Linked DNA regions of Arabidopsis thaliana. The protein of the gene in region 1 purifies or fractionates together with the protein of each later gene. This does not show direct contact. Each region holds a gene or a part of one and is shown in the gene's direction. Other genes may lie near its edges.

Region 1 (4,090 bases):
TATCTACAGGTAATACAGCAACCTCTCCCACATAAAATCATACAATTTTTCATGGAATTAAGAATATTACCTTTTCCAAATTGAACTCCACATTAGCACCCCCAGCCAGAGGGATACTCAACAATCCAGACGATGGTTCAGCTCCAGCAACATATGATCCACCCAACCAAGATGCCTAAGTATATTATAACCACACCATTAACTTGTGGTCACATTATATTAAAAAGGAAAAAAAAATAGTGTTTGCACTTAGAATGACAGGTGCTGTTAACTAACAAAATCATTAATGTCCTTGTCAGTCACATCAGAGGAGGGTTCATTGACAGACACAACAACCACTTCATTGTCTGCAGAATTTTGAAAAGATTAGCAGAATATCCAAAGTAAGACTTAAACCCATAAAGAAAAAAAAGTTAGAAACTAGTCATGCTCAGATGGTTCTGGTATTCAAGCTGATAGGGCACCTGGAAGTTCAGTATCAGCTTTGTACGAATCAGACTTAATACTGCTCCTTATGGCATTGCCCAAGAAAGAATGACTAGGGGAGGTTTCCAAAAGCATATCTGCAAGTAAAAAACAAACACTTGAATATTTTACAACTAAAATTTTTGGTTCATGTCAGAAAACTAAAGCTTTCCAATCACATACCATCAGCTCCAGCGATTTCTAGCACAAAAGCAGCGCGAGGCCTCTCAAATGGATTAGGTTTTAGAATCTTGTTCAACTATAACAAAATGCAAAACAAATAAACGATGAAGTACAGGACTTTAACCCAGAGAGAGAAAAACAACTCTACTATAATACTAAAATAACCTTGGATGAGCCATCAGCTGTCAAAGTTGCTGAAGGTGCAAAACCCAACAAGGCAGACACTGCTGCAGATATTTCAACAGGCGACATGGGAAGTGCCTGTGCATTTCAATTCAAAGAAAAGAGATTTAACTAAAATTCATCAAAAAGAACTATTAAATCACAAACTTTAGTACTTGTCAAACATAAATTTGCAATCTGTCCATTGATCTCTCATCAATATCAAAATAACAAAAAAAAACAGACAAGAAAACTACAAATTGGTGCCACTTAGACCAAACAATAGATCTTATTTTACTACTTCAATGGACCAAACTCGTATAATTTCCAGAAACGATCTTAGATTGAAATATAAAATGATCAAATTTGAGATTATTTCAAATCGGTCATCCACACATTTGGGACGAAAATCATTACCTCACTGGATGATCGTGGACGAAGATATTGATTGTTGGATCCATCAATGAAGAAAACAGAACCACTTGCTTCTCCCTATACACAAACAAAAGTCAGATCCATGTCATTACATACAAGCAATTCCGTAAACGAGAGCAAGACACGAAGGAACAAAAACGAACCCTATAATTCAAGGTGAGAAGAAGAGCAACAACGAATACGTAGAAAGCTTTCATCTTTAAGAACGAGAGTCGACGGAGAGAGAAAGAAAGAGATGGATCGGTGTTATCAGACGAGAGATGTTTAATGGAGGAGACGAATCCAGATTTCAGAATCAATCAAAGTGTTAGACACAACTCCAAAACGGTGTCGTTTGAAATTAATATTATCTGTTCAAAACCCGGTTATTTCAATTCCGGTTTAGTAAAAAGCCATATTAAACGACAGTTGCCGACAAAAAAAAAAAAAAAAACGACAGTTAGTACAAATAGGGGTATAATAGACAAATCACAAAACTGGTTCGTTTTTAAAGAAGCGGTCCCGAATCACACCATTTCCATTTCCATTTCCAGAAGCGGCAACGATGGAGACAACAATCGGAGATTCTATGACGATGATGATGACGGAGATGTGACCGGTATGAGCTCAAGTAGACGAAATCTCCAAACGATTCAGAGCTTCAAAGCTTCAGATCTGTTTCCTTGGATCGGTTAAAAAGAGTTTTAAGGTTGATTTTTCTTTCCACACCATTTGGCGACTCGTACATCGAACTCGCTGATCGGAAAATACTCCCGGATAGAAATTGAACCGATTAGTTTGATGAGTGAGTGACTTGTTACTTCGATTTGTAGCTGAGTGTGTCACTGCTCAAGTGTGTGAAGAAGGAGAAAATGCCGAGGCCAGGACCAAGACCTTACGAGTGTGTGAAACGAGCTTGGCATAGCGATCGTCATCAACCTATTCGTGGTTCGATTATTCGCCAGATTTTCAGGTTTTTTTCATTCACTCATCTTTCTCAAAACCGTACGCTAGGGTTTCTTTGTATCTTAATTTGGGGTTTTCTTTGTTTGATTTCAGACTCGCAATGGAAGCACATAGCGCAGCGACGAGGAAGAACAAAGAATGGCAGGAGAAATTGCCTGTGGTTGTGTTAAAAGCTGAAGAAATCATGTACTCTAAAGCCAATTCCGAGGTTTTAAACAAATTTTCCTTCTCTTTTTTTAGTGTGTTTTCAGCTTCACAAAATGACAATTGGGTTTCGGTTTCCATTAGGAAGAGTATACAGATGCTGATACTATGTGGAATAGAGTAAATGATGCCATTGATACAATTATTAGAAGAGATGAGAGTACAGAAACTGGTCCTCTTTTGCCTCCATGTGTTGAAGGTAATTGTCATTTTTGTTTCTCTCTTTAGCTCTAGTGATCCTTATTGAAACTACTTAGAAGTTAGTGCTTTGTACTGTTTATTGTTTGTTGATGTGGTTTTTTTTTATATGGTTAGCTGCTCTTAATTTGGGATGTATTGCTGTAAGAGCTTCAAGAAGCCAACGACATAGTAGCGGAAGGACTTACCTCGGTCCTAAAATTCAGGAACCGGTTTCTGCGTCGACTAATGAGCCGTCTTACCATCATGAATATCGTCAGCAAGCTCAACAATCATCAACCAAACCAAGCCAGACAGTTCAAGCTGCAGTCCCTGTTGATGTACTTGATAACAGCAACAAGCGTGTAGCTACTCCTCGCGGTTACCCGTTTCTTCATGAATCCATGCAGATGCATCAAAAGCCATTGGCAATTAGACAAGGAACTGGTCCTGCTTCTGCTCCTGCTCCAGCTCCAGTCAACTTGGGTTCGGTCTATCCTTTGTATTACGAAGGTAATAATCAAACGCAGCAAGCTGACATGTCTTTTAGAGTCCCTGAAGCGCCCATAATCATTGGCATGCCTATTGGTATAAAGCCCTCAGAAGAAGCAACTGAGAGGGTCTGTGATTTATCCTTGAGGCTCGGTATATCTTCAGAACCGTCTACAAGAATAGATGTCGGGTCTAGTCGGGCTTACCCGGGAAGAAACCAAGAAGAGTTATGTTTATTCGCAGAGGTAAAGAAGAATGATAGGTTTGAATGGTTTTCAAATAGTGAAGGTCAGAATTCAGATTCGAGAGTTAAAAAGCACAGAACTTTGTGTGGAGACTTCCTTTAGGACTTGCTTAGTTGTTGTAAAAGCTTCAGGTTTATTGGTTTACTATTTTATTGACTCTACTAGTCTTAGCGTTCGCTTCAAGTTTTATAATAAAGATCCATGGATTGATCTTAAGTATGGTAAGCTAAATTCTGGATCCAAGAATTAGTTAATCCATTTATATATGTTTGTTTAAATGTGAAATTAATAGAAAGAATTAGGTTAGTTACAAGTGCTAACATATTCAGGGTAAATTGGAGAGAAAACAGAGTTTATATAATCATAACCATAGGTTGAATAAATGTAATTGAGCTTTAATACTGAAGAAGCTACTCACTGATCAAATACCATCATTTTGAACTGTCTTTTTTTAAGTTGTTTTCTAAGTTTTTTCGTACATTGTCAGTGACCACTTTTGGTGTAGATAATCGTGGGTATCACTTTTACGATATTTGTGCAAAGAAAAAAAGGAAAGATGATAGATTGTTCCTAACGTCGGAGATGGATTCTCGACTAAATTACAACAAAGAACGTACACTATTGTCATTGCAGCGTGAACGTACATTGCATGCGAGAGACCAACTTTGTTTATAATCAAAACAAACGAAAATGAGACTTTTTTTTCATAAAAAAACAAAGGTGTGTCGTTGAAAGTTGATATTGATCTATTTCACCAAATTAATTAGCATTTTTGAGGGTTC
Region 2 (5,074 bases), on another chromosome or scaffold:
TAGTAGTCTCTTAATTTTCTTTTCAAAATTCTAGTAATGAAATTATAAAGGATGACTTTGTTATTCCTAAATTATGTGACTGCGCACGATTAAGAGTTGTTATTTTCGGACAGTGTTACTCGAGGAAAGACATAAAAAAGACAAAAGACATAAACAATGATAAAATTAAACTTTATGGGGAGAAAATCAAATGTAAAAAAATGAAGAAAAAGAAAATGGAAGGTCAAAAAGTTGAATGCTGAAATTGTTCTTCTGAAAGAACGCGGAATTGGGTTAAAGAGCTTTAAAGTGTTGGTGGGCCGACACGATTGGTCGGCATGAAATCTTAAGGTGTGAACCTTTCAAGTACACATTTCTGCTGCTTATGCAGTGTCCATACTCCAATTTCGGTTCGTACTGGAAAACATACTAAAGTGGATGTATATTTGATAACAGTTTTTGTTTTTGTTTTTGAATACTAGTATTATATAAAAGAGATTTTTCCTAGTCTACTAATGTTTCAATCCAATCCATTGTAGTTATCAAACTAGTTATTTATGGGTATTCAAAGCTGATAATATGGTACTGCGGGGTAGTAGTATAATACTAAATAATTACTTACGAAATTAATAATGAAATGAGTAATTATAGAATGAATGCATATAATTAAGTGTTTTTTTTTCACAAAAGAAAGACGCCTGAATTTAATAATAAAGTGTATTAAATATTAATTCACATTTGTCGTAAATACGTGGATTGTAAAAGTGTATCAATCGTATGTATGTACCACTGGTTAAACAAATGTATGATGCATCAATAGTCAAACTAAAAAACTCGCTGATCTTTGAACACGAAGTTGAAAAAAAAGTCGAAAAAATCTCACTGATGTATGTAAAAAGAAAATATGTTGGTAAATAAAAGAAAAAATGGGAGGATAAAAAGGCAGGGAATAATCACAAACTTTTAGGCCTAAAAATGATAAGTGTTGGACCAACCCATGGCTTGCACGTTTGGTCTCATCTCGTTACTTTTGTTTTCGATCTCATCGATGTCTGCGTCTGTGCGGACCATTTTACCCTTGCCTTTTATTACTTCACTAAAAGATGAACACACGAATTATTTAGACATGCGGCACACAATTTTATTACGGTTAAGTTTACAGTTTTAAGGCGAAAATATATCGTTATGCTTTATGCTACATTAATTATGTATAGTAGTACTCCCTACCCAAAACAAAGTTACGTATAGTACTTTGATTGGCCATCGAGGACTCAAGGTTTACTAAATAGAAAGTAAAACAAAGAGATGTTTATTGCATTCGTCGTCCACACATAGAATAATCAATCATCATCATGATTTGTTTTACATTCTTAAGTTCTCGTAATTATTCGTTTCGTACGTTTTTTTAATTTTATTCCAAAGAATTTAACATTAATATTTTGAAGAACCATGTGCTACTAGCCTACTATTATACTCAATTGACAACAACCCATTTTATTTTGCTTTTGCTCGTGTTTCATTCATTTCGAACGATTGGATTTACATAAAATAGTCTATACACAAAGACAAAACAAAATCGCTTTTTTTTTTTTTTTTTTTTTCATTTTGTATACTATTATTGTGGAAAACGCAACATTTATATATCATACTATTGATCTTGCATGGTTCCATGAATTTTCTAGGTAAAAAAAGTGTGTTAATAGAACAAACAAAACTGTTAAAACATGTTGAATTACTTAATGCAATTTGACTCTGGTAAAACATGGTCAGCCACGACATTTCAACTACTCTCATTAACTCCCAAATGTTTCATCATTTAATATATGAAAATCATTATATAATACTCGTATGATTCAATTACTCAGATAATAGTGATGTAATGCATGACACTTGTTTTTGGAATTTTATTTTATTTCCAGTTATATATTACAGTTGTTTACTCGTCAGACTAATATTGACTGTTATTAGAAATAAAGGTACTTAATTCTTATTCTTTACGCGCTACAAAATAAGCAACAATGGCAAAACCGTAAAAATGAGTAGTCAAAGGGGTATTTGGTTTTAGAAAGAGATGAGGATAAAAATGAGGTTAAGCGTTTTTATTATTCCCCTGGTGGAAAGTAGGCAAGCAAGTGGTATCATCAACAAACAAAGCACTTCTCTTTTGATTCGATTCTCTCTTTACCTTGAAGCTTCAATATCAACCAAATCTTTTTTCTCAAAATCTCAAAGAATCTCTCAAACTCAGTCTCCTATCTGTCTCTCTGCAAACTATTACCAACCAGGTTAGATTCTTGATCTCAAAGTTTCCATCTTTTTATTTTATGTCGGTTGCTTTCGCTGAGTTCTGGTTTCTTTGATTTTCTTAGTTACAGAACACAACTTACTTTGTTTTTTGGTTTGGGCTGTGTTGAAAATTGAGCTTAGGGTTTTATGTAACAGTTGTCTTAGCTCATAGTTACGGTTAAAAAGCTCTCAACTTTGTCTCCCTAATGATAATTGAATTCAATCTTGTTTATGATTTTTCTCTATTGGGTCGATCTTTAACTGAATCTATCTACATAAAGATCCAACCGTTTTAAGAATCTTAGGGTTCTTATCATCTTGTTCAAAACTAAGATTCTGTTTTTTGGTGTGGCAGATAATTTAGATATGGAAGCTACTCAGAAACATATGATTCAAGAAGGATCTTCAATGTTTTACCATCAACCATCTTCAGTCAAACAAATGGACCTTTCTGTTCAGACATTTGATTCTTACTGCACACTTGAATCCTCTTCAGGCACCAAGTCTCATCCTTGTCTTAACAACAAAAACAACTCTTCTTCAACCACAAGCTTTTCCTCTAATGAAAGTCCCATTTCTCAAGCCAACAACAACAACTTATCAAGGTTTAACAATCATTCCCCTGAAGAAAACAATAACTCTCCCTTGAGCGGTTCTTCAGCGACAAACACCAACGAGACAGAGCTTAGTCTCATGCTTAAAGATTTGGAGACTGCAATGATGGAGCCTGATGTAGACAACAGCTATAACAATCAAGGCGGGTTTGGACAGCAGCATGGAGTTGTTTCTTCAGCTATGTATAGATCTATGGAGATGATCTCTAGGGGAGATTTAAAAGGAGTGCTCTATGAATGCGCAAAAGCTGTTGAAAACTATGATTTGGAAATGACTGATTGGTTGATCTCTCAGTTACAGCAAATGGTTTCTGTTTCTGGTGAGCCTGTTCAGCGCTTAGGAGCTTATATGCTTGAAGGTCTCGTTGCTAGGTTAGCTTCTTCGGGTAGCTCCATCTATAAAGCATTGAGATGCAAAGACCCAACGGGTCCTGAGCTTCTTACTTATATGCATATCTTGTATGAAGCCTGCCCTTATTTCAAATTCGGTTATGAATCTGCTAATGGAGCTATAGCTGAAGCTGTGAAGAACGAAAGTTTTGTGCACATTATCGATTTCCAGATTTCTCAAGGTGGTCAATGGGTGAGTTTGATCCGTGCTCTTGGTGCTAGACCTGGTGGACCTCCGAACGTTAGGATAACGGGAATTGATGATCCGAGATCATCGTTTGCTCGTCAAGGAGGACTTGAGTTAGTTGGACAAAGACTTGGGAAGCTAGCTGAAATGTGCGGTGTTCCGTTTGAGTTCCATGGAGCTGCTTTATGCTGCACGGAAGTCGAAATCGAGAAGCTAGGAGTTAGAAATGGAGAAGCGCTCGCGGTTAACTTCCCGCTTGTTCTTCACCACATGCCTGATGAGAGTGTAACTGTGGAGAATCACAGAGATAGATTGTTGAGATTGGTCAAACACTTGTCACCAAACGTTGTGACTCTGGTTGAGCAAGAAGCGAATACAAACACTGCGCCGTTTCTTCCCCGGTTTGTCGAGACAATGAACCATTACTTGGCAGTTTTCGAATCAATAGATGTGAAACTCGCTAGAGATCACAAGGAAAGGATCAATGTTGAGCAGCATTGTTTGGCTAGAGAGGTTGTGAATCTTATAGCTTGTGAAGGTGTTGAAAGAGAAGAGAGGCACGAGCCACTAGGGAAATGGAGGTCTCGGTTTCACATGGCGGGATTTAAACCGTATCCTTTGAGCTCGTATGTGAACGCAACAATCAAAGGATTGCTTGAGAGTTATTCAGAGAAGTATACACTTGAAGAAAGAGATGGAGCATTGTATTTAGGATGGAAGAATCAACCTCTTATCACTTCTTGTGCTTGGAGGTAACTAATAAAAACCTTGTTCGGTTTCAGAAGAGATTAGAAACTTCTTTTAAAGTTTGCAGAATCTGTTTGTAAAAGTAAAACTCATGCATGATCCGAAGGAACAAGTTGTCAAATGTTGTAGTAGTAAGTGATATGTTGATGACCCCATATATGTTTAAGGTTTATGTTTTTTTTTTTCTTTTCTCACAACAAACTATGATTTGACATCAAACTTATAACTCTCTGTTTATGATGTGATAAATTAATGATATATGGTTTTTTCTTGTCGTTTGTATTACGCACAAGGTTAGGAAAATTTGCAGATTTTTTTGAAGCAATATCATTAAGTTAATGTAGCACCAGACATCTAATTGACTAATCGAATGTCCTAAACAGTCAAACGTTTAACCAATTTTAAGGTGTTTAGAATAGTACTCAATTTTTCATTATAATGTATTGTTTTTTTTAATAATTTTTTAATTTTGTTTCATTATATTAAATGTTTTACAAGTTTGGATGCAAATATAAAATGTATTTGATATTTTGCAGCCACTTTTGTAATTGGTTGATTTTTTAAAAGTTAAATAATCGAACGTTAATGTACGTTTAAATGATGAACATACGAATAAATCAAAGTTATAACCAATTAGTTGTTTGATTAAACAATACTTGTAACAAAAACATACATGATCCCATTTGTAACCATCGTTTTAATGTTTTAGTTAAGAGATAATAAGAGAGAACCGGAATTCTTTTTTTGAAAATGTAGTTTGAAAAAGTGGTTAGAGATAATAAGAGAGAACTGGAATTGTTTTTTTGTACTTTGGTTAAAACTATGGTACGTTTGGAAATGAAACAAAGATAATCTTGAATTATTATACATT

The links. The genes of interacting proteins can lie anywhere in the genome.
Region 2: the proteins of AT3G24150 (region 1) and SCL5 purify together in Arabidopsis thaliana (affinity purification with mass spectrometry, with the first as the bait; one study listed by BioGRID). This does not show direct contact.

What each region holds. Positions count from the first base shown.
Region 1 is NC_003074.8:8,723,593-8,727,682, reverse strand, and holds AT3G24150 (uncharacterized protein), read left to right. Parts: upstream 1-1,696; 5' UTR 1,697-2,096; coding exon 2,097-2,197; intron 2,198-2,283; coding exon 2,284-2,398; intron 2,399-2,478; coding exon 2,479-2,593; intron 2,594-2,709; coding exon 2,710-3,410; 3' UTR 3,411-3,586; downstream 3,587-4,090. Other genes in the region: PMP (putative type 1 membrane protein), read right to left, coding at 71-175, 277-347, 465-563, 649-724, 814-909, 1,228-1,302, 1,389-1,442.
Region 2 is NC_003070.9:18,736,536-18,741,609, reverse strand, and holds SCL5 (scarecrow-like 5), read left to right. Parts: upstream 1-1,960; 5' UTR 1,961-2,050; coding exon 2,051-2,264; intron 2,265-2,274; exon of another isoform or gene 2,275-2,436; intron 2,437-2,620; coding exon 2,621-4,212; 3' UTR 4,213-4,547; downstream 4,548-5,074. UniProt on the Arabidopsis thaliana protein: Probable transcription factor involved in plant development.